3 linked regions of the Ovis aries genome follow. The protein of the gene in region 3 interacts with the protein of the main gene of each other region in a biochemical or structural test. Links are inferred from orthologs where the notes say so. Each region holds a gene or a part of one and is shown on either strand. Other genes may lie near its edges. The genes, in order: RNF168, BIRC2 and UBE2D1.

Region 1 (10,659 bases), on a different chromosome or scaffold from region 3:
ACTTACATTGAAGGGTTAAAAAAACAAGACAAAATTTAAAGTAATTATTATTTATTAAGATCTTTACATGGGAATCAAGTTATGGGTAAACACAGTAGAGGCTCACCTCCCCACTGCAGTTTGTTTTACACACCTTTATGCATACCAAATGTATAGAACTTGTATAGGAATTTAAAGAAGCCACAAGATATTTGAGGAATGGTTTCCTCTGAGGCTGAAGTCACTTGTGATCTGGGAGCCGTAACACAGGGAAACTCATGGTCAGGGGCCTCTTCTGACACAGAGCTAAAAATATATCCGGTAAGGGAGAGGTGAGTAGTGTTCACAAGCATACAGAAGGCAACTGCACTTTACTGGATGCTATACATGGGCACTTAAGAGTACACGAAGTCACTGGATAACTGACTCTCCCAATAGTGGGGTTGGATGTAGTGGGACTGGAGGAGAGCCAGGAGAGACACTATCGTTTAAGGTTCTTTGTTGAGTCAGGGCCTGTGCCAGTTGCTCTATTACTTCCCTTAATTCTCCATAGCAACTCTTGGTTACATTGATTCCTGTTTAGAAATTAAGACAGATTAAGTAGCTTGCCTAAGGTCATACAGGTAGAGACCAAGTTAAGAAGGACATTATTTTCTTCCCTCCTGCACCACACGCCCCTTCTTTTGGTGGTCCAAAATTCATGCACAAATTACTACTCCCACAGTTCAGTTCCTTATATGTGAACTAAGGAATCTAAGAGCTATTTAGTTTTAAGTATTTATACCCAGGTGCCCTGCATTGGGAACATGGAGTCTTAGCCACTGGACCACCAGATAAGTCCCTCTAGGAGTCTGTTTAAAGCCATTCACAGGTCCTCCGAGTATTGCAGAGTGAAGATTTGGCTCCTGGGATTTGGCTCCACAGACTTCTGTGCTGGGGGACTTTCAGCTGAGGCTTCTGGTCTGTTCAACAAGCTTCCTTCCTCTGGTAGGTCCTGAATTCTGTTCTGTCTCATCTGCAGTGTGAGCCTGATGACTCCTCTCTGCTTTTCAAAGGTTTTTAGCCTTTTAGCCTCTGCTCTTAACAGTTTCAAAACTGTAGTTATCTTGATGAGAAAGTGTAACTTGTGTTTGATGATGATGACCTTCAAGTCTCTAAAAACTCCAGCTTCATGAGCTGGCCAAGAGTTCTGCCAGTAGAGCAGACCTGTTCACCAGAAGTCCTCATTCTCATTCTGCATTCAGAATAGGCACACACTACAAGTGGAAGAAGGGTTTCAAGCATCAGTTCACCTCTCAGGTCTCCCCTCTCTAGAATCTTAGCCCCTAACTTAGTCCTCATTGTTTCAGTAGCTTTCTGATGTTTTTAAGTAGAACACTGTATACTTTTATCTGGCTCTTCTCATTGTCTTCAGCAAGACTGCAGGTCTACAGCATTGCTACCTGAAAAGCATAAGCTTTGCTTCTCAGATAATTTAAAAATAGTACATTCAAGCTAAATATATTCATTCACAATGGTATTTGCGAAAACGGTTAACTTTTCATGTTGAAAACTCTTCCTAAATTATGATTCTTAGAATTTAAAGGAAAAAAGAACTGTCTAGAGTGGTATAGGCTTAGATGCATAAATAGCCTTAATCTTATAATATTTAAGTTTTGAGTAGATGATACATTCAACATGATTGAAAATTCAAAAAGTAGAAAAACATCTAAACTCACTCTTCCACTTCTGTCTCCCAGCCACCCAGTTTCTTTCCCTGCTGGCAATACTATTTTTCTCTCTTCAGCCAGTTCAATCACTCAGTCCTGTCTGATTCTTTGCAACCCCACGAACAGCAGCACGCCAGGCCTCCCTGTCCATCACCAACTCCCGGAGTCCACCCAAACCCATGTCCATCGAGTCAATGATGCCATCCAACCATCTCACCCTCTGTCGTCCCCTTCTCCTCCTGCCCTCAATCTTTCCCAGCATCAGGGACTTTTCCAATGAGTCAACTCTTTGCATGAGGTGGCCAAAGTATTGGAGTTTCAGCTTCAACATCAGTCCTTCCAATGAACACCCAGGACTGATCTCCTTTAGGATGGACTGGTTGGATCTCCTTGCAATCCAAGAGACTCTCAAGAGTTTTCTCCACCACCACAGTTCAAAAGCATCAATTCTTCAGTGCTCAGCTTTCTTCGCAGTCCAACTCTCACATCCATACATGACCACTGGAAAAACCATAGCCTTGACTAGATGGACCTTTGTTGGCAAAGTAATGTCTCTGCTTTTTAATATGCTGTCATAACTTTACTTCCAAGGAGTAAGTATCTTTTAATTTCATGGCTGCAGTCACCATCTGCAGTGATTCTGGAGCCCAGAAAAATAAGTCAGCCACTGTTTCCCCATCTATCTGCCATTTAGTGATGGGATCGAATGCCATGATCTTCGTTTTCTGAATGTTGAGCTTTAAGCCAACTTTTTCACTCTCCTCTTTCACTTTCATCAAGAAGCTCTTTAGTTCCTCTTCACTTTCTGCCGTAAGGGTGGTGTCATCTGCATATCTGAGGTTATTGATATTTCTCCCAGCAATCTTGATTCCAGCTTGTGCTTCATCCAGCCCAGCGTTTCTCATGATGTACTCTGCATATAAGTTAAATAAGTAGGGTGACAATATACAGCCTTGACATATTCCTTTTCCAATTTGGAACCAGTCTGTTGTTTCATGTCCATTTCTAACTATTGCTTCCTGACCTGCATACAGGTTTCTCAATTCTCTTCTTTGGATAAATAGTTGCACACTATTCTACACTTGTATTTTTTGTTTACTCTATATCTTATAGTGCTTTTAATAACAGTAAAGTCGGGTTTTTTTGTCTAACTGCTGTATAGTATTCCGTTTTACCATCATTTATTGTCTCTTGATATGCTTAAGGTTGTTTCTAACTTGTTATTATAAACAATACCATACAAAAATCTTTTGTGCATGCCATTATACATATGTGTGAAAACAGTAAGAAATTACTAGAGGTAAACTGCCAAGGTTACCTCTTCAGGGCTTTAAAATTTTCTATCATATCAAGCAACATATAAGAGTGCCTATTTCCCTACAGTTTTGCCAAGACTGGAAAAAAACAAACAAACCTATACACAGATAAAAACAAAACCAAAAAAGCACCTTTATCTTTACTAATGAAGGATAGAAAAACATATGAGCATTGGTATAAGTGATATTATGCATCTTTTCACACATTCAAGAGCCATTTGTATTTCCTTTCCTGAGAACTGTTTCTTGGGAACATAAACTTTTCTAATTTTTCTTTTGAGTTGTTAGTCTTTTTCTTAATGTACTGGCAGACACTTTTTATAAAAAGAAATTAGCTTTTTGTGGTGAACTGTATCTACTTTTTCCCTAGTCTTCCATGTCTTCCAGTTTTCCTTTATGGTAGTTTTTACATATAACTTATTTTCATGTTTTAGTTTTTAACTGTGATAAAACATATAGTCCATTTTAATTTTTAATAATTATTTTAATTTTCAGATTTTCAGCCTCTGCACAGTTCTAGCACTCCTTGAGAAATTAAACACTCTCATATCCCTTCCACAAAAATGGAAGGAAAAGTATCAATACATTCTAATGACACGAAATATTTACTAGTTTCTCACAAAGATGCATACATGCTAGGAGTATCAGAAAGACTAAGAAGTTAAAATTTGTGTTAAAACCAATTTTAGTCAGGAAGACTTTTCACAGACAAATAAGTGGTTATATATGTAAATCCTAAATACATTATACTATTTTTCTCCCTTTTTGGTTATGGACTATTCCAGGAAGATTTAACTGTATAACTTTTATTTGAGGAATCCCTAAAAGGTAAAGCAAAATTGGTCTTAAAAAATATTGGTTTGATGAAAAGATTTTAGTCTACTTTAGAAAAATTTGGTTAGTTTCTAAGTACACTTCATTTCAGTACAATCATTACTCAGGAGACAATCATTTTTGAGAAAGGGCAAACTAAATTTTAAGTTAGCATCAGGATTCTACCCATAATTAATCAATATCGAAGGAGATGCCATCAGGTGCAGATTACAGAATTTTGGTTACAAAATTTGGAGGAAAAAAAAAATCAATGTCCAAAAGCACTGATAAATTTAAACTACAATTATTAACTCTAGGACATTTTATTATGTCATTACCTTAATAGGATGGTTAACTAGACATCCATCAGAAATGCTGTTAAACCTGTTATTTGCTCAAAGTTGTTCATACTACTGAAACAAAAGATCTCTAAGTTAAATTTCATAAAATGAAATTGCTGCCTTCCTTTTTAACTTTTCGGGGTAAGATAGGGCTAAACCCAAGTATCATCCTTTCTATTTTTGTCCATAAACACAAATAACCTAAGGAAATAAACACATGGTTAGTCAGGTTCTACAATATAGGATACTGTGACATAACTTTCCATTTTTTCCTCTGGAAAAGTAGATTAGATAGTATGGTGTGTAAAACTATAAAATCTAAATGTTTCTTGTGTCATTCAGCAAAGAAAGGACGAGGAAGAACACTCTGCCAGACTACACCTGCTACTCCATTCTAGATCCAGCGGTCTGATCATCCCACACTGTTCATCTACCCCTCTAGCCTCATCCCAAAACAAGCTCCTCTGTATCAACAGTCTAGTTTTGTCAACTAAGTACTAATTTTCCAGAAAACCCCGATTTTTCTGATTTAACACTGACCCCAACCCATTTTAAGTCAAAGAAAATATTATAATACTTAATTAAAGCAGAGATGGAAATTAGTGTTATGGAAGATGTATGTCAAGTGCTCTGCAAATATATGGGAAAGCTGCAAGAAAACAGCTTTTAAACCCTGCCTGGATCCCTTAGCTACTTGGTACTAATGTTGCTTTGATCACTAGTCAGGACAAAAAGGGGCTCAAAGGCCATAAAATATGCATTTGGGGGGGAATGCACAGAACTGAAGATTTCCTGGGAGTTGGCATATGCAATTTTATATCCGTAAAGGCTGTCAACCTATACTTAGTACATCAGTTATTTGAAAAAGGAAGGGAGTGGGACTCTTGCTTACAACTGAGTCTGGCAGAAACACATTTGTATATTTCTCCTTTGTAATCACATGCTCCTTTAGTTAGAGACAATGAGTGTGTCCACAGAGCAGAGATAATGAAAAATTTATAAAGAACCTATGATAGAAAGCTTTACAACTCAACCTTACTGGATTATAAAATACTCTTCTTACTCAAGCATTACTTTGTGAATCTCTGAAACATCTGAAAAATACTTTTCTGTGACTTACTAGGCTGTAGGGAATGAGCAGTTTTAGGTACATTACAATTATCTCTAGTAGAATTTGCTACCTTTCTTCCATTAACTGAACATTTCAACTGGATCTTAAAAGAAGGTTGCCGATGGTTTTCATTTTTTGAGTCGGTCTGAGGTTTTGGCTGCTCTAGCTCAGTTTGTCTTTTGGAGTTTCTGTCTCTGGAATTCTTTCTCTGTCCATTTAGTACTTTGTCTGGAGGTGAGGACACAGTCCGTAGCTGATATCCATCTGGGGATCCTTTTTGCCGGTCTGGCCTTATTTGCTCTTGATCCACCTCTTCCTGAAGTTGTAATGCTAATAACCTGTCCTGCTTTTCTTGCTTATGTCTCTCATAAAGTAGATGTTCCAAATCTATCAGTTTTTGGGTCAAGCTGATTTCTGTTTCCTCTTGGTCTGAGGAGGCTTTGGGGAACGTTTTCTTTCTTTTTGCAGAAAAGCATGGCTCTCTGATTGCTTCAGACAAAGGTTCTAGGTTTCTTCTTTTGGAGGTACCTTTACTGATCGGTAGGTGGGACTCTTCATTTTCTGTCCCAACCGTGTTGTTTCTAAGGAACTGTGTCGTATCTGTTACAGTACACTCACTCTCTGTTTCACCACGTGCCTCAGTGGCAGCATCTCCAGAGTAGGGAACTCTGGCTTTAGGTTCCTCGAGACTTATGACACATAACCCTTTTTCACGATTGCTTGGTCCTGTTTCAACTTTTCCTTCAAGGCACCATTCTCCACCACTGGTACATAACTGAGGCATAGGTGACTCCACTGAAGATTTTGCATCTTCTTCCTGAACTGCAAGATATATTTGAGGAGAAAGCGTTGGCATATCTTCTTCAACATCTGTGTCTTGCCATGTAGGGCTCTTCACATCACTGTTGTCGTCAATTTTCTGTAGAAAACAGAAAAAGACTGAATGAACCAAGGGAAACCATCAAGTCATAACATATAAGTCTTATTACACTGACACCAAAACTGAGTTGTCACTATATACTATAATTACCTGATTATCACTACTACTAAGATATATTAGTTTTTAATAGTATTTTTATTCTGTGTGCCAACTTAAGGTATTTCTTCATTTTCACTCCCATGAAAACCTACAGCTCAAAACCCACAAGCCAGTTTTATATATGGCCAGCAGCTGGCACCATGACTTGACCTTTCATCTTTTAAACTTCCTCCAACCCAGGGACTTTTAATACCTTTTTGTGTCACAAACCCTCTTCCTTTTGGCATTTTTGTGAAGCTGACAGACCTCTTCTGAGAATAATATTTTAAAACATAAAAATAAATACATAGGGATCAATTTATATTGCAACATAATTATTAAAATCTTGTGATATAATAATGCATATCATTAATACATTAAATAATAAGATCTAGTAACAAGTCTAATAATTTGTAACTCTGAAGGAGGGATGAGTATAAATGTTTTAAGAGATCTACAACAAATGTAATATGTTATTGGTGACAAAGACACAGGTACTGTTGACAGTATTATGGTTTGCTGCTTATATTCATGACTATGTTGCTAAGTCGCTTCAGTCATGTCCAACTCTGTGCGACCCCACAGACGGCAGCCCACCAGGCTCCCCTGTCCCTGGGATTCTCCAGGCAAGAATACTGGAGTGGGTTGCCATTTCCTTCTCCAATGCATGAAAGTGAAAAGTGAAAGTGAAGTTGCTCAGTCGTGTCCAACTCAGCAATCCCATGGACTGCAGACTACCAGGGTTCTCCGTCCATAGGATCTTCCAAGCAAGAGTACTGGAGTGGGCTGCCATTGCCTTCTCCGATTCATGACTACAGGAAACACTAAAATGAGAGGTCAGGTGGAAGATAAACTTTTTCTTCTATCCAGGTTCATATTTACTCTATGGATTCTACCCACAGACCTTAGGTTAAGAACCCTTGCTTTAGCCAGTGTAACTCTTCTCACTTACAGGTCTTGGGTAAATTAAGATCTAGGATTAGTTTTGACCATGGGAAAGCCTTAAGAAAGGCTTCAATGAGAATTTGCTTCAAGACAAGTTATTTATTGTTCAAGATCTTAACTCTGTTCTTTTACCTACTTTGCTTTGCATTTATTGTTCCTCATAACATTTCTTGTGAACCAATGTAGTCTGGGTTGGACAAATTCTAAACTGCCTACCACGTTTTGCTGTGAGTATTAATATCAGGATAGGGAGAAAAAAATTCCCAGCCTTCAATGCCTCCTTCCATCAATCGTTAGCCCCAGCATAAGCCAGACTATCTGGACTTGAATTTCCCTCTATTACTTCTACTTAAGAGACTCTTTATGGCTCAGCTGGTAAAGAATCTGCCTGAAATGTGGGAGGCTTGGGTTAGATCCCTGGGTTGGGAAGATTCTCTGGAGAAGGGAATGGCTGCCCACTCCAGTATTCTGGCCTGGAGAATTCCATGGATTTGTACAGTGTATGGGGTCACAAAGAGTTGGACATGGCTGAGTAACTCTCACTTTCACAGGACTCTGAGCAATTCTCTAGCCTCTGCATGCCTCGGTTTTCTCAATTATAATTGGACACAAGGATACCTTACAGAATTGGTGGTTGTGATGAAGATTAAAGAAAATATATACATTTTTGGGCACCTAAATGTCCATTAAGTGTTAGGTACTATAAAACCACCTACCTGAATTGAAAAAAACTTATGAACCTATTAACAAAACTTTGGTTAACAAACCTTCTATGTAGGCATTGATCTTGGTGTCAGCTCATTTTTTCTAGTGCTATTTTCCTGGAAATATGATAGAGGTGGAATGTCACTTGTGTCACTAGACCTCATAGCTTATGATAAAAATGACCCTTATTGTTGAACTGCATTTGTACTAGGAGACCTAGGAGGGATCTTTAACCCCCTACAGGAAGCCAAGGTTCAGGGCTTTGGTAAACGACTTAGAACTCTTTGACTGGCTGTGTTCCTTACCAGGACCTCTGGAAGCTACTCCCATGAGTCGTTACAGTAAATAATTGACTCTTATGGGGCATGGGACTTCTAAATCTTCATGGTGACTACACTCCTCTGCATGGTCTCACTTCCAGGCCATCACTTAGGAGCTCTGCAGTGAGGATTCTTGCTGAACAGATATGCCTGATGCTGCCCTACTAGCACGCTTTATTTCCCATTCTGTTATCTTTTAAGTGAAGCTGGTACCAGGGGTAGCCTATTTAGTTTTGTGAGTCTGATGATCTAGGTTAGGGATCTACAAATTTTGCCCATGGACAAAATCCAACCTGGTGTCTGTTCTTGTAAACAGTTTTACTGGAACAAAAACAAGCTCATTTGTTTACATTTTATTCTGGATGCTTCCACGTGAAAACAAATCACTGAATAGTTGTGACTGAGACCACCTGGGCTATAAAGCCTAAAATATTTACTATCTGGCTTTCTAGAGAAAAAAATCTGCTGACTCCTAGCTTAGGTGAGACTAAGATGATTAAGAAGGTGTATTCCATTTACTACAGTGACTTTTAAAAAAAAAAAGTAGGAAACTATAAGTATTAACGATCTATACCATTAATAAACTTGCCAAGCCAAGAATATCTTTAGCATCCACAAACCTTAGACATGGAGTTTTTTCTGTCTTCCTGTGCAACTTCAGACTGTGATGCTGACCCAAGTTGAGATTTAGGTGACAAATACCTTTAGAAAAAAGAGTTCGAAGTTAATTACACTTCAATAAAATATACATATATATAAAAAAAAAGTTTGCCAAATTTGAATGCTTTGAAACACAAGTGGCATGTATCCAATGAAATAAAGCCAGATTAGCTATTTATGCTTAAAGCTGTCTCACTTGCTACTTGGCTTATTTCTCAGAAAAAGTGCTATTTTATCTCCCTGTCTCAGGTATTTTGGTCTAGCTCTGGAACAAAACTTAAAAGTCCGAGTATTGATATTTTAGTGAAAAACAGGAGAAAAGGAAGCAAAAGTCAAATTTAAATTATTCCTTAATTCTCAAAAGAATCTAAATAGGTAGGTCCTGGCATCAAAACAACCTAAGACTGTACAGTCTTTCCAAAAGTAACGGAAATGACACTTTAAATTAGGAGAAAGAATATGTTAGTTTCTTTTTAATGTCAGAAATTCTACACTTTTTATCTCTGAAAAATGGTCCATGATCAGATTCTTTACCATTTTGGTACAGAGATTTTATTACATACAAATTTATATCAACTATCTGCTTAGAGATATGAGATTTATCAATATGTTAGCATAAGAGCATGTCTCTATCTAAGCATCAGTTTATTCTTGTATTTGTGATACATTTTTGTTTATATATTTCAAAGTATATATTTAGATTCATGAAGATTTATGACAATTATATCCTTTATGTGTGTGCATGCTAAGTTGCTTCTCAAACTGATGTCCAACTCTTTGCGACCCTATGGACTATAGCCTGTCAGGCTCCTGTGTCCAAAGGATTCTCCAGGCAAGAATACTGAAGTGGGTTGCCATTTCCTTCTCCAGGGGATCTTCCTGACCCAAGGATCAAGCCTGTCCCTTTTTATGTCTCCTGCATTGGCTGGCGGGTTCTTCTACCAATAGCACCACCTGGGAAGCCCCCTATATCCTTTATGCTGAATAATATTATATCAATTTGAAATATCCCTGCTTTTCTCTTTTAATGGCTTTTCTCTTGATTTCTACTTTACATAATATCAGCATTAACAATATTGAGGCTACATGTCTGCTTTTTCTCTTAATAGCAACCACCTCTTTTAACACTGCCCTCTCCCTATAAATCTTCATCTCCCTGTCTCAAATTTCCACTATCTCAAATCCTAAATTTCTATGAATTTTGGAAGGGGGTAAATCAGTTGCACATATTTATCTAGTTGAACCAAAAGCCCTTACATGTTTTTGAAGTCTAGATTGTAGTTGATAAACTTCTTCGACTATGAATTACTATGGGAAAGCTTATCAACTTGTCTTGCTGCTAAGAGGGGCACAGTGGGGCAACTAAATTCACTCTACTGTTGACTACCTGACTCATGTTTTTTGTACAGTAGGGAAGAAAAGTAATATATAAACTGGGAAAAACAGAGTGGGGTAAGATCTAGATGCCAAACTGTAAACTCTTTCAATGAAGATGACCTTATATTGGACTACTTTTTTTTCATTTGAATCCAAACCAAGAGAAGAAGGAATCCAACAGATTGATTTTGAGAAAATGGTACCAACATGGAAATCCTAAGCAGTCAAGATAAAAAAAAGTTTCACATTTCTCTTCATGTTAGCCAGAAATGTAAGCTATGTGAGCATCTCTCTTATTTTCACTTTATATTAATGTCAGACAATCTAGAGGGTTTTCATGCAGAGCTGATGGACCAAATTTTGAT
Region 2 (10,659 bases), on a different chromosome or scaffold from region 3:
GAAAGACTTAATATATCCAAGTGCTAAAAGAAAAACAAATGCCAACCAAGAACACTGGAAAATTAAAAATGAAGGTAGTCTTGTTCAGGCTTCAGAAGTAGGGGAGCATACCTCTAACCGACTTCTAACCTTGCCTGGACTACATGCCTGCCTGCATGCATGAACATCAATCATTACCAGCAAGTCAAGCAGCACTTCAGGTAAGAAAGGGAGTGGGTCTTGGATTTTTTTTTAATGAGTACTTTATGTTTGATTATTTATTTATTCATTTATTTGTTTTTGGTTGCACTGGGTCTGTTTGCTGCACAGGCTTTCTCTAGTTGCAATGTGCAGGTTTCGCACGGGCTCAGTAGCTATAGCATATGGGCTTAACTGCTCTGCAGCATGTGGAATCTTCCCAGACCAGGGATTGAACTGGTGTCCCTGCATTAGCTGGTTGATTCTTAACTACTGGACCACTAGGGAAATCCAGCCTTAGAATTTCTTAAGCCGCGGGAACCTACTCAGGCCCCCAGAGTCTAAAGAACTTTATGACTCACAAGATGAAACAAACAGCATTGTAAAAGTTAAAGAAAAACCTGAACTGCATTTTTGCATGCAAACTGTTATCAGTTTGTGGCCTAGGATCATAAGCAGGACCTCCCAAAGCTGCAATCTGAAGTCTGGCCTGTGTGGTGGATGTACTGACAGGACCCTTTCCCAGTTAGGACTCTAGACTGCTGTTACATGGGACTTCCAGCACTGTTCAATACTAGATTAACGTGGGTATTGGCCCAATGTAGAGATGTATATTGGAGAAGGCAATGGCATCCCACTCCAGTACTCTTGCCTGGAAACTACCATGGATTGAGGAGCCTGGTAGGCTGCAGTCCATGGGGTTGCTGAGTCAGACACGACTGAGTGACTTCACTTTCACTTTTCACTTTCATGCATTGGACAAGGAAACGGCAACCCACTCCAGTGTTCTTGCCTGGAGAATCCCAGGGATGGCGGAGCCCAATGGGCTGCCGTCTGTGGGGTCGCACAGAGTCGGACACAACTGAAGCGACTTAGCAGCAGCAGCAGCAGAGATGTATATGCTATTATTTCTGCTTACTGTTTCTATTTCTTTTCTTTTAATGACTGTACACTGAAATAAAGCCAAATTAATTATTGAATATTAAATATTGAAACTGCTTATTTGTGTGTAACAAGCAGTTTCTTTTGTTAACGAATCCTTTGAAACCAAAATAAAGTACAACTTTCAGCAAAACAAATACTGGCAAAATTGTCCTTCAGAAATGAAGGAAAAATAAAGACATTCCAATCAAACAGAAGTTGAGAGTTCATGAATATGAAACCTGTTTTACAAAAAATGCTAAAATGATTTCTTCAAGTTAAAATGAAGAGACCTTAAGTAATAACATGAAAACATATAAAAGTATAAAACTTAACTGGTAAAATTAAGTATGCAGGTCAAATTCAAAACACACTATACTGTAATTGTATGTCTAGTGTAAGTTAAAAAAATAGTAATACATTTTGCACAGCAAAGGAAACCATAAACAAAACAAAAAGACAACCTACAGAATGGGAGAAAATATTTGCAAAGTGACTGACAAGGGATTAATCTCCGAAATATACAAAGAGTTCATGCAGCTCTATGTAAAAACAACAAACCCAATCAAAAAGAGACAGAAGATCATCTAAAGACATACAGATGGCCAAAAGGCACATGAAAGGATGCTGAGCATCACCAGTTATCACAGAAATAGAAATGAAAACTACAATGAGGTATCACCTCACACTGGTCAGAACAGCTAATAACAAAGTCTACAAAAATAAATGCTGGAGGGGGGGTGAAGAAAAAGAGAACCCTCCTTCACTATTGGTGGGAATGTACATTGGTTATAACCACTATGGAGAACAGTATGGAGGTTTCTTAAAAAACTAAAACTGTAACTACCGTATGACTCAATAATCCTACTCCTGGGCATATATCTGCAGAAAACCATAATTCAAAAACCTCAACTGTTCACTGCAGCACTATTTACAATAGTCAAGACATTGTTGTTTAGTCACCAAGCTGTGTCCAACTCTTGTGACCCCATAGACTGTAGTCCTCCAGGCTCCTCTGTCCATGAGATTTCCCATGCAAAAGTTCTGCTGGAGTGGGTTGCCATCTGCTTCTCCAGGGAATCCTCCCAACCCAGGGACTGATCAAATCCACACCTCCTGCTTTGCAGGTGGATTCTTTACCACTGAGCCACCTGGAAAGCCCAGCCAGACATGGAAGAAACCGAAATGTCCACTGACAGAGGATATAATGGAATTCACTCAGCCACAAAGAAAGAACGAAATAATGCCATTTGAAGCAACATGAATGGACCCAGAGATTAACAAACTAAGTCAGACAGAGAAAGACAAACATATGATATTGCTCATATGGGATATCTAAATGTTTTTTAAAAATGATTTAAATTAACTTACAAAACAGAAACAGACTCATAGATTTCAGAAACCAACCTATGACTGCCAAAGAGGAAACTCTGGGGAAAGGGATAAATTAGGAGCATGGGATTATCATACACACACTACTATATAAAAAAGAGATAACCAACAAAGACCTATTGAATAGCACAGAAAACTCTACTCAATATTCTACTACAAACTATATGGGAAAGGAATCTGATAAAGAATGAATATATAGTATCACAGAATCACTATGCTGTACACCTAAAACTACATAACACTGTAAATCCACTATATTTCAATAAAATTTTGTTTAAAAAGGAGTACTATAGAAAAATACAGAAAAATAAAAAACAATACTAACAACTACAACTCCAGTAATTCGTTACTAGATGCGGAATAAAAAGAGATATAAAGTAGGACATCAATAGTGTAAAACATGGGGTAAGGATACGTAAACTGTAGAGTTTCTCTAAACGATTGAAGATAAGTTGTTATCAGCTTAACACAGGCTATTATATCTGTAAGATATTTTATGTAAGCGTCATGGTAAACACAAAGAAAAAACCTACAGTAGATACAGAAAATACAATAGAGAAATTAAAGTACACTACTACAGAAATTAAGTCAGAGATAAAGACAGCCAAGAGAAGAAATGAACAAAGGAATTAAAAGAAAAAAAAAATAGAAAACAATTAACAAAAACACAGCAAAAAGTCCTTATATATCAGTAACTATTTTAAATGTAAATAGACTAAATTCTCCATCAAAGACACAGAATGGCTGAATGGATTTAAAAACCCCATAAGATCTAACAGTATGCAGCTTACAAAAGAATCACCTTAGCTTTAAGGACACAGAAAGACTTGAAGCGGAAAGATATAAAAGGCTGAAAGTGAAAAGATTAAAAAGTTCTATGCAAATGATAATCAAAAGTGATGGGGAGTTGCTCTACTTACATAAAGTAAAATAAACTTTCAGTCAAAATTAGTGCTAAGAGACAAAGAAAATCACTATACACAGTGATGAAGGGGTCAACTCATCAAGAATACATAAAACAATTGTAAACTTATATGCAACAACAACACTGGCACATCTAAATATCCAAAGCAAGTATTAGCATAACTAAAGGGAGAAATACAGAGGAATATGATAATAGAAGGGAACTTCAATATCCCACTCCCAACACTGGTTAGATCATCCAGACAGAAAGTTACTAAGGTAACAGCAGACTAAATAACACTTTACACTAAATGCCAGATGTAGCTAAAATTATAAACTATAATCAGAATATGTATTTCCTACCCTTGCACTAAAATACTACATACCAGGCAAATACTTTTCTAGCCCAATTCTCAAATCATGTAACCTGGCCCTTTCCAAACATGATAGTTTATACCAAATTTTCCCTCTTTGGAGGGCTTACTATTTGCTCCTCTCATTTGGTATTCCTATTTTGTCTCCCCAATTAGAATATAAGCACTTTAAGAACAAAAACTAGAATACTTCCAAGAATCCTCTAAAAATGTCATGAATCTTAGAAGATAGATGTGTGTGTATGTGCTCAGTCGCTCAGTCATGTCCGACTCTCTGCAACCCCATGGACTGCAGCCTGCCAGGCTCCTCTGTCCATGGAATTCTCCAGGCAAGAATACTGGAGTGGGTTGCCATTCCCTTCTCTAGAGGATAGAAAACGTACATAATATTTATTAGCTAACTTCTTAGCACTTTTTTCTATAACCCTAGAAATCCTTTATATACAAACTTTTATTTTCAATACTCTTAAATCCTATTCTTTATTCGGGATATTTTCATACATACTTGGTGGATCAGCATTTTCATCTCCAGGAGTATTTGCAGTTGACAACAGCTATGAAACAGGACAAAAAAAAAAAAAAAAAAGGTAAAATCCAGAATCTCAAACAATCTGAGCATAGCAACATTAAGGTAAGTTTATCTTAAGTACTATGCACATGCTTTGAAAACTGGGTAGTTTACATACTGCACTTTGCTATGCTTTATCTTAATCACCATAAAATATTTCCTTAAACTTCAGTTAATTCCATATTAGAATTTAAGTATCAGGAAAGCAGGAAAAAGTATTAATGGTTTCTCATTCCACTTAGAAAGTTGTATTTCAGCTTAACCACTCTCTGAGGTTCCAAATTCCTAAAAAGTTATTTTTTGTTTATTTTTCTCAAAAAGACGGAGTAGATACTAAAGACTCTTCTCCAACCCTACCACAAATCTGTACAGGGGCAGGTTATGTGACTTTTCAAAAAACTAAAAAATAGTTTTTAAAAGCCATGAACAGACAAGGTAGTCTGAAAATAAAACTTAAAAGTGTCATTAAGATGGACATAAAACATATAACTATAATTAACTTTAAAAAGATATAAAGATCACTTTTAATCATATTTTGTAATTGTTATCTAGGAGAATCCAATGTTGCCAATTATAAAAACATATTTACCTGTTCAAGAAGATGAGGATATCTAGCTTGAATCTCACTAACAAACTCCTGCCCTTTCATGCGTATCAAGAACTCACACCTAAAACATAAAAGGAAAATTTTTAAAATTCTTTTATGCCAAAAATATACTCTGATCATTCTAGAAATGCGGTTTTCAAACTCTTGGACTATATCCCATAGTACAAACATTTTACATCACAACCTAGTACACATATACACCTAACAGAAACAAAATTCTCATAAAACATCACAAATTTTTACTATGTATTGATACATTCTGATTTTTTTAATTACATTAATACAACAATAAAGGAGTCTGGACCTCAAAGGAGAAAAAGCTAAGACTTAGAAAATGCTGTTCCAGACAATTTACTTTGCGAGTTTAACATAAGTTTCAGGAACTGTAATGTGGTATGCCTAAAATATGATCTTTCACAAAATGACTGCTAATCTTTCTCCACTGTCCACTCTTCCATTATACAGAAAGCACAAATCCCCTAAAAAAATAGAGTATCAAGTATTTTCATCTATATATACTGTGACAGTGTTTCCCAAATACTTGCTTTCAAATTACTAGAATTTCTCAATGGTTATTCCAGGAAGTTCATATAACATTTGTTTCTATTTCTTCCCTTTTGATTTTTCAACAAATGGACATAGACAACTCAATATTCATAAATATTAGCCTTTATCTATGTCCATACTGTACACAGAAACAAACTAAAAATGGACCAGATGCTTAAATACAAAACCTAAAACAATATAACTTCTAGAAGAAAACACAGGAGACAATCTTTTTGTCCTTAGGTTAAGTAAAGATTTCTTAGCTAATAAACCAACAGCATAATCCATAAAAGATAAATTGATAAACTGACATCATCAAAATTAAAAACTCCTGCTCATCAAATACACTGTTAAAAAGATAAAAAAGAAAGTCACAGACTGAAATGTTCCAGAACACACCTGATGCAGAACCTGTATCTAGAATACATTAAGAACTCTCAAAACCTAGCAATTAAAAAAAAAAAACAACTTCTTGAAAAGAGACACTTCATCAAAGAAAACACAGTTCCAAGAATGAAGAACCCACAGATACAAAGGGCTGACTCTACTATGTCTTATGAGGAACTTGAGCACCCATGGATTTTGGTTTCTTGAGGGGAAACCCTGGGAGTGTCCTGGAACCAATTCCTTGCTGACACTGAGGGACAACTTATATAGACAACAAATAAACATCATTAATCACTAAGGAAATGCTAATTAAAATCACAGTGAAATACCACTACACATCTATTAGAATGGCTAAAATAAAAAAGATACTACCACATGTCATTAAGAATCTGGAATACTTGGAGGTCTCATACATTCCTGGTGTGAATTTAAAATGATACAGCCACTTCAGAAAACAATCTGGTAGTTTCTTCTAAAGTTACAATGGTAAATAAAACTTGCCATCCAACCCACTAATCCCAATTCTAAGTATTTAAAGTATTTACCTAAATGAAATGAAAACAAGTTCACAAAGGTTTACTAATTTTTAGAGTGGCTTTACTCATTATTGCTCCAAAATGGAAACAACCCAATGTCCTTCAGGTGGTGACTGAGGTAGATTTAGTAGAGATCATGTAAACATGCTCATGACTCAAGTCATCATGCCGAGAACACAGCTTGTTCCTGATCTTAATATAGGTCTAAATTATTTTTATTCTGGGATTAACTTATAATGATTAAAGATAGGAAGTATACTGAACATTGGCTGCTCCATATTTCCTCCTTCCAATAAATTCTATGAGGACTAAGATTTCTGTCGTATCTTATTCACTGTTAATATCTCCAGCATCTAAAGTAGTATTCACAAGCATATAGGGAAATAGGTGAAAGTGATTTAGATATAAAATTCAATGATAAAATAAATAAGCCATGGGGACATAATATACATACAGCAAAAACAATGTGGTTAGAAGCAATTATGACTTTGTTGTTGAAGTGTTAGTCGCTCAGTCGTGGCCGAGTCTTTGTGAACTCCATGGACTGTAGCCCGCGAGGCTCCTCTGTCCATAGAGTTCTCCAGGCAAGAATCCTGGAGTGGGCAGACATTCCCTTCTCCAGGGGATCTTCCCCACCCAGAGATCAAACCCAGGTCTCTTGCATTACAGGCAGATTCTTTACTGTCTGAGTCACAAGGGAAGCCAAAAGCAATTTTTATACTTCAAAGAAAAAAAAAAATTTTAATATGGTCAACAATATTGCAATAACTGTATAGGGGCAGATGGTTACTAGGCTTATCATGGTAACAACATTATATATGCAAACATCAAATCAGGACACAGCACACCTGAAACATATTATGTATGTTAACTGTATTTCAATTTTTAAAAAATGATATTAGAAGGGGGAAAAAAAGATCATCATGATTTTCCACTGTTACTTCTAACTACTTATTCCTAAGACTCTTGCCACCAGATAATGCTGTGACTATCATGAATTATCATGCTCAATCAACAGGATCCCAGTATTCTTACTGGTCTGCTGCAAAATCAGCCTTTATCTACCAGTTTCAACCTCATATGTAATAACAGTACCACAATTTTTGCCTTTCTCTTTAATTTGGTTCTTCTTCGTTTTGCTTTGGATTGACTTTTCATTTGATTCCACACTGTCGTGTAAATATTAGTAATTATGAAAAAGGAAATTCTTTTGAATGATTATGAATAAAAATGTTAAGAGAGAAATAACATCAGAGGGAGAGGGAGAGGGTGGGATGATTTGGGAGAATGGGAATTCTAACATGTATACTATCATGTAAGAATTGAATCGCCAGTCCATGTCTGACGTAGGGTGCAGCATGCTTGGGGCTGGTGCATGGGGATGACCCAGAGAGATGTTGTGGGGAGGAAGGTGGGAGGGGGGGTCATGTTTGGGAACGCATGTAAGAATTAAAGATTTTAAAATTAAAAAAATAAAATTAAATTAATTTTAAAAAAAGAAAAAATAATAATTTTTAAAAAAGAGAGAGAAATAACAGAAGTAAAATAGTAGCTAGTAGGCATACAAATATTTAATAAGTGAATAAATAAACTGTGTTAAAAATACAATGATAATGATTATCCACTTTGGATTTTCATTTTCTGAGATGAAAGACTATCCACAATTGAAATTTGTTGTTTTCAGAAGTGTTTACAAAAAGTACTTCTGGCCTTTTCCCTTATGTAACCATTTCAAGCAAAACACTAATTACAGAAGTAAACCAAGATTTTGTTTGGTCTTGTTTTCTAAAGGAAAAATTATAGCAAATGAAACACTGTTAATCAGAAAGCTGTTTTTGTCTTTTTAATATAGTATTAAATTCCAAATTACAGAATAAGCCAATCTCGTAGAGCCAAGGACAATCAAGTCATTTAAAATTCTGACAACTGGGAATTTCCTGGTGGTCCAGTAGTTAGGACTTGGTGTTTTCACTGCTGTTGCCCAGGTTCAATCCCTGAATAAGGACTGAGATCCCAGAAGCCACACAGAGACGCCAAAAATAAATACAATTATGACAATAAAACATGATTTTTCCTAAAAAAAAAAAATTTAGAGATTCCTCATTATTAGGAAAGTCACTCACCAGTCGAAACATTATCTATATGATATGATTCCACTCTTATAAAGTACCTAAAATAGTTGAATTCACAGAGACAGAAAGTAGAATGGTGGTTGCCAGGGGCTGGGAATATAAGGAATTAATGAAATGAATACAAGATTCAGTTTGGGAAGATAAAAAATGTTTGGAAATTGACAGTAGTAATGAATGAGGAATAAGGTGAATGTACTTAATGCCACAAAACTGTATACTTAAAAATGGATAAAATAGCAAATTTTATGTTATGTACATTTTATAATTTTTTAAAAAGACAGTATTACCTATTCCAAATTCCTCATTTTATAGATGAGGAAAGGCTCAAAGGGGTCACATGACTTGTCCAAGTTCATACAACTACTCAATAACATTCCACCCACAGCACTGCCTCTAAATTCTTTCCAGGCTATAGTAAAAAAAAAAATAGGACATACTGGTAGAAACAGAGTGACTAAAGAGAGATACATGACATATCACAAAAAGATAAAACTGTACAGAAAAAAATAATTTACAATTATAATCACTTAAAACTGATTATACAATTAGGTTTTTATTATATGCATTTTTATATTTGTCCTATTCCTAGATTCATTTAATGTCCCTTGTTTTTCTTTTTCCTTATCTTTTCCTAATGTATCGCCTTTTTGCTCTACTTTACATATTTTTATAATACTTTAAACAAAATGGAAAATACATAAATGTAATGTATGGCCACAACTGTGAATGAGGCATCAAGAATAAGTTAAATTATATCCTGAACACATGGTTTATAAAAGAAAAAAATCACAGAATATTCTACATTTTTCTACCAAAATAACTGTTACAATTTGGTGTCTTAAAAGGCTAATTCTCTAATGGTATAAAGAAGCTTTCTTATACTGAAATGTAAACTTAAAATACACAAACATGCCTACATCTTTTACACACAGAGTTGTATATACAAATACCTTTCAAAACAATTACCTTGGAAACCATTTGGCGTGTTCTACCCATGGGTCATCTCCAGATTCCCAACACCTTAAGCCACCATCACAACAAAAGCACTTGACATCATCATTGCGACCTAAAGAAAACACAAGAATAACTGAATACACACGTGTTCTAATATATTAATCAAAATGAACTAGATAAAACATACAGCTATACATTCTCTTACCTACATAATAGAAACCAGCACTTGCAAGCTGCTCGGGCTGAACTGGTACAGTAGATGGCCAGTACATAAATGTTCTCAGGCGAGCTGCATGTGTCTGCATACTCAAATTGGAAATGCTGAACCTCAGCGTTCCCAGAGAATTTTCCAAAAATGGACAGTTGGGAAAATTTCTCTGGTGTTCTAACATAGCATCATCCTTTGGTTCCCAGTTATTTAGCGTCCCACCACAGGCAAAACAGGCTACCCTGTCTCCAGGTCCTATATAATAAAAGCCAGCTCTTGTCAATTCTGACGGTGACAGAAAGGTTAATGGCCACATTTGATAAGTAAGAAATCTCGCTTCTTCAGTACTCATGGCATAACTGTAGGGGTTAGTCCTCAGTGGGGAAAAGTCTTCGACTGCTCGAGAATTAATAGGGTTTGGTGAAAGGTTGGAATAAGAACCACTGAATGATCTACCATGTTCCAAAGTGGGTGATAATGAGTGAGTAAAACTGTTTCTCATTGGAGAAGAAGCATTCTTAGAAGTGGATTCCAGACTAGTAACAGAAACTAGATTCTGAACAAAGCTACAGCTCGGATACAGTTGTTTATGCTTCTCAATAGGATTGTCTCCTTGTTTCCAGTTATCCAGCATCAGGCCACAACAGAAGCATTTGACCTTGTCATTCACACCAGTATAATAAAAACCAGCACGAGCAAGACTCCTTTCTGAGACAGGAACACCGGTGGGGAAAGTTGAATATGTAGACATTCGGTAGAGCTCACATGAAAAGTCGTATGTCATTTTTTGTTTGTTGCCACTTGTCCAATTTGACAAGACTGTGCTATCTTCCATCACACTCTTAATTTTTCGATACGAGGGATCCAGGACAAGTCTTTGGGAGGTAGTTTTGTGCATGAGTGATTTTTACTTTTTGACAGCAAAAATCCTTTACATGAAATTTTTCTTCTCTT
Region 3 (3,507 bases):
AAGAGAGATCTTAAAATCATTATCATATACATAAAAACAAGGAAATAATTTTTATAGAGCATTTTCAACATATTAGGTAGTGTGTTTGGCACATCATATTAATATCAGTTAATTCTTACAATAATATATGGAGATTATTTTTCTTTGGACACGCAGAAACTGAGGCTTAGAGAATTTAAGTGCTACAAGGTCATACAGTGGATAGGGATCAGAGCTTGGATTCCATCCCAAGAGAGGGGTCAGTCCACAAACCCCACGCTTCTCCGGCTATGTTGGGTGGCCTTCCAGTTTACGGGAGGACACTAGGTCTGTCGTCTAGGAAGATATTAATGGCGAGAGGTCTGAGATTGGAACTCTAGGGCACTCTAACTCTTGATAAGAGGATTTGGTAACAGAAAAAGGGAAGATGAAAAAAAAATTACAAGATGTAGCACACATTAGAATCCGGTACATGTTTTTCGAGCTAATTTGTTATTCTCATTTTACAGGTTGGGAACTCCAGTTTCAGTTACTTGATCGAAATCCATCTGCAGAGACTAACCCAGACCTGGCAGTGGGTGAAGGTCTCCGAACCGGGCAGCGGCCGAGTAGGATGCAGGAACTGCATTTCCCAGTACGCTTGGCGGGAGGGGGCGGGGCCGGGCGGCCGCAGATTCCTTCCCAGAAGCAAAAGCGGAAACAAAAGAGTGTCGCCGGCGTCCCCGCCCGCACACTCGCACACTAGCGCTCGGGCTCACTCAGAGCAGGCACCCGCGCCCAGAGCTAGCCAGACAGCAGCGACCCGGGAACCCACCCGGCTGAGCCAGCCGAACAGCCGGCGATCCGAGCCCGCACTACCCCACGCCCCCGAGCCCTGCAGCCGTCCCCCGCCGGCCAGTGTCCCAGCCGCCCTCCCTGACCGATGGCGCTGAAGCGGATTCAGAAAGTGAGTGCCGGGGCCGGGCCTGGGGCAGCGGGGCGGGCTTCGGCTCGCCGCGCACGCTGACCCCAGTGGTGGTCCCGAGAGACGCGCCGGGAGGGAGCGTGCAGGGAAGATGGGCTAGGGCGGGGACCGGGGGCCAGAGACGCCGGCGGGCCAGCGGGCACCCGACAGGTGAGGTGGGAGCAGCGACAGGTCCCGGGTGCTGGAGGTGCTTGGAGGCAGGGGGCCCGATGTGCTCTCACGCCGGAGCTGCGCCTGGGGATCCCTGGCAGGAGAGCTGCTTCTGTCTCCAGACCTCCAGACCTATGTGCCGCTGGGTCACTGGATTTTGCCTTACACCCGGCTAGCTTTGGCCCTTGTCATGCTGCTTTCTTCATGCTGTTTCTGAAACCTGTCCTCTTTTATGATTTTGCCTTCCCCTGCTCCCGGGAGGGCATGGAAGGTGTGGTGGGCCTGCAACCTTCCTCCGCGGAGCTGTTGGGTTTGTTCTTTCTCTCCTCTGCGGTTGGCTCTTGCTCAGATGCCCGAATGGGCTGGAAAAGCCCATTTGGGACCGAGAAACCAGGAGAAGCCTCCTGCCCCTTCTATTTTGGTGCCTCTGCTGCTGCCACTTGAGGTCACATAGCTGTAGTGAAAACATAGTTGCTGATACACAACAAGATGACCTCCTGGCTGTGATTCATGGTGAGTCAAGCCAAGCAATTTTTTTTTTTTTTCTCGCCATGATAAACTTATATGTAAAGTTTGAGACACAACAGAAACTGTCACAAATTAGATAGTTCCATGCTTTGACACATGGGTATAGAATGAGGAAGAAATGTTTATATACATTAAACAAATATGTTTCCGTCCCAACTCAGTGTAAGGAATTGTTTTCTCATGAATGCTTTTTGCTACCGTCTCTAATGTGAACATGTTACAGACCTGAGATTGGGGCGTTTTCTTTCTGTTCACTTTTGTTTCTTGTTGGGTTATTTAGTCTGTTCCCTTTCACAAGCTTTAGGCTTTACTGTTATGGTTCATGTGGAGAACATTGAGAATTTGTTTTTTTAATGAGAAATGCGTTCAGCAAGTTAAGCCAGAGATGGACAGCATGTTTTCTAAAGGATTTCAGAAGAAATACTACCAAAAAAAATTTTTATCAACTTCTTCTGGCACGAATCAATAAGGCAGTGATAGGGAAGTATACATTGTATTCTCAGTTACCATTGATGTCATCTTCTGGTACAGAGGACAGCAACTTTCTGACCCAGCCAATTTGGTGGTGGTGGTGATGGGGAGGGGTCAAATGATCCGAGATCTGAGAAATACTGTTATTTTTTGTGCCTGTTAAGGTTACTCTCACGGTAAAGCACATAGCTAAAATCAGCATGTGTTGATTACTATGTTTTCTGATTTGAAGATAATGCAGTTACACACTTTTTTTCATATACATGATTCTAATTTTGAAACCCCACTCAGCATCTTTGCCATGCCTTGTGTACTTTTAAATGATGATGTAATGTTGGCTCACATTTGAGGTAAACACACATTTTCCAAGGAAGTCTTAAAATTCCATTTCCTTCTTCCCTAGTTGTAAGAGTTTTTTGCAAGACTACATGTATAGTAGCTTCAAATAGTGTAAAATTTGTCGACAGTAAGTGAACATTCACAGAAAATGGACACTGTTAAGTGTCCTGGGCAATGTATCAGTCTCCTTGCTGAGCCAATGTCTTTGGCTTGTATTTATAATATGGCATATACCCAAATCATATTTTTAGTCATTATTAGTTATTAGTTTATAACAGAGTTGTCTGGTTAAAAAAAAAAAAAATTGGATATGACATAGCATCCCATCTCTGTGTGTCAATCTTTGGCTCCCCTTCTCTGTTACCAAAAAAAAGTGATTTGTACAGATCTCTTTTCCATTGATCACTTGTTCAGACCACTCTCAACTTTAGGAAGTATTTTGTTTGATTCCCCACATTTTCTCTTTCTTTACTACCTTCTTGATGAGAAGTGAATTCCAGGGGAGGTATGCTGTTTGCCATGTGAACAGTTAAGTTACAGAGCCCTCTTTGATATCATCAGTATATAAATTCTTTTTGAATCTTCCGTGCTTCAACAAAAGAATCCATGTTATTAACTTTTGGCCTCTCTTTTAAAATGTATTAAAGTAACACTGTCAGATAAGGTCATTGGGTTGCGATTTTCCTGGGCCTACAGTGGCAGGCTTTGGAACTGTGCAGAACCTTAAAGTACTTTCAAGAGTGAAAGGCAGGGGAACAGCTTCTAGGGTAGTACATCAGAATCAACCATGGGACATTTCAGACCATCCCCACTGCTGTAGTCCATGGGGTCGCAAAGAGTTGGACACGATTGAGCCACTGAACTGAATGAACCATTGCTGTAAATGGAGAGATGCTGGTGAGTCCCTCAGATGGGCTGCTGTGGAAGAAAGGTCATGAACCACTGACTGACATTCTAGTCTACTCACTGTTGTTCAGAGAAGGAGCTTGAGGTTTCGAGTGGAGTGCTTTGTCCAAGTTAATCTCTTAAGAAGTGATTTGGCGTGTTTTAAAAAGGTCATGACTTCACAGTTTTTC

What was found.
Region 1: the proteins of UBE2D1 (region 3) and RNF168 form a complex in vitro, tested with the Homo sapiens proteins (3 studies listed by BioGRID). The link is inferred for Ovis aries from reciprocal best matches to the Homo sapiens genes UBE2D1 and RNF168.
Region 2: the proteins of UBE2D1 (region 3) and BIRC2 form a complex in vitro, tested with the Homo sapiens proteins (11 studies listed by BioGRID). The link is inferred for Ovis aries from reciprocal best matches to the Homo sapiens genes UBE2D1 and BIRC2.

Annotation. Positions count from the first base shown.
Region 1 is NC_056054.1:191,842,358-191,853,016, forward strand, and holds the end of RNF168 (E3 ubiquitin-protein ligase RNF168), read right to left. Parts: intron 8,960-10,659; coding exon 8,878-8,959; intron 6,189-8,877; coding exon 5,229-6,188; 3' UTR 35-5,228; downstream 1-34. UniProt on the Homo sapiens protein: E3 ubiquitin-protein ligase required for accumulation of repair proteins to sites of DNA damage. Acts with UBE2N/UBC13 to amplify the RNF8-dependent histone ubiquitination.
Region 2 is NC_056068.1:6,033,028-6,043,686, forward strand, and holds part of BIRC2 (baculoviral IAP repeat-containing protein 2), read right to left. Parts: 5' UTR 10,604-10,659; coding exon 9,703-10,603; intron 9,610-9,702; coding exon 9,510-9,609; intron 5,004-9,509; coding exon 4,925-5,003; intron 4,322-4,924; coding exon 4,273-4,321; intron 1-4,272. UniProt on the Homo sapiens protein: Multi-functional protein which regulates not only caspases and apoptosis, but also modulates inflammatory signaling and immunity, mitogenic kinase signaling, and cell proliferation, as well as cell invasion and metastasis.
Region 3 is NC_056075.1:305,094-308,600, reverse strand, and holds the start of UBE2D1 (ubiquitin-conjugating enzyme E2 D1), read left to right. Parts: upstream 1-707; 5' UTR 708-901; coding exon 902-925; intron 926-3,507.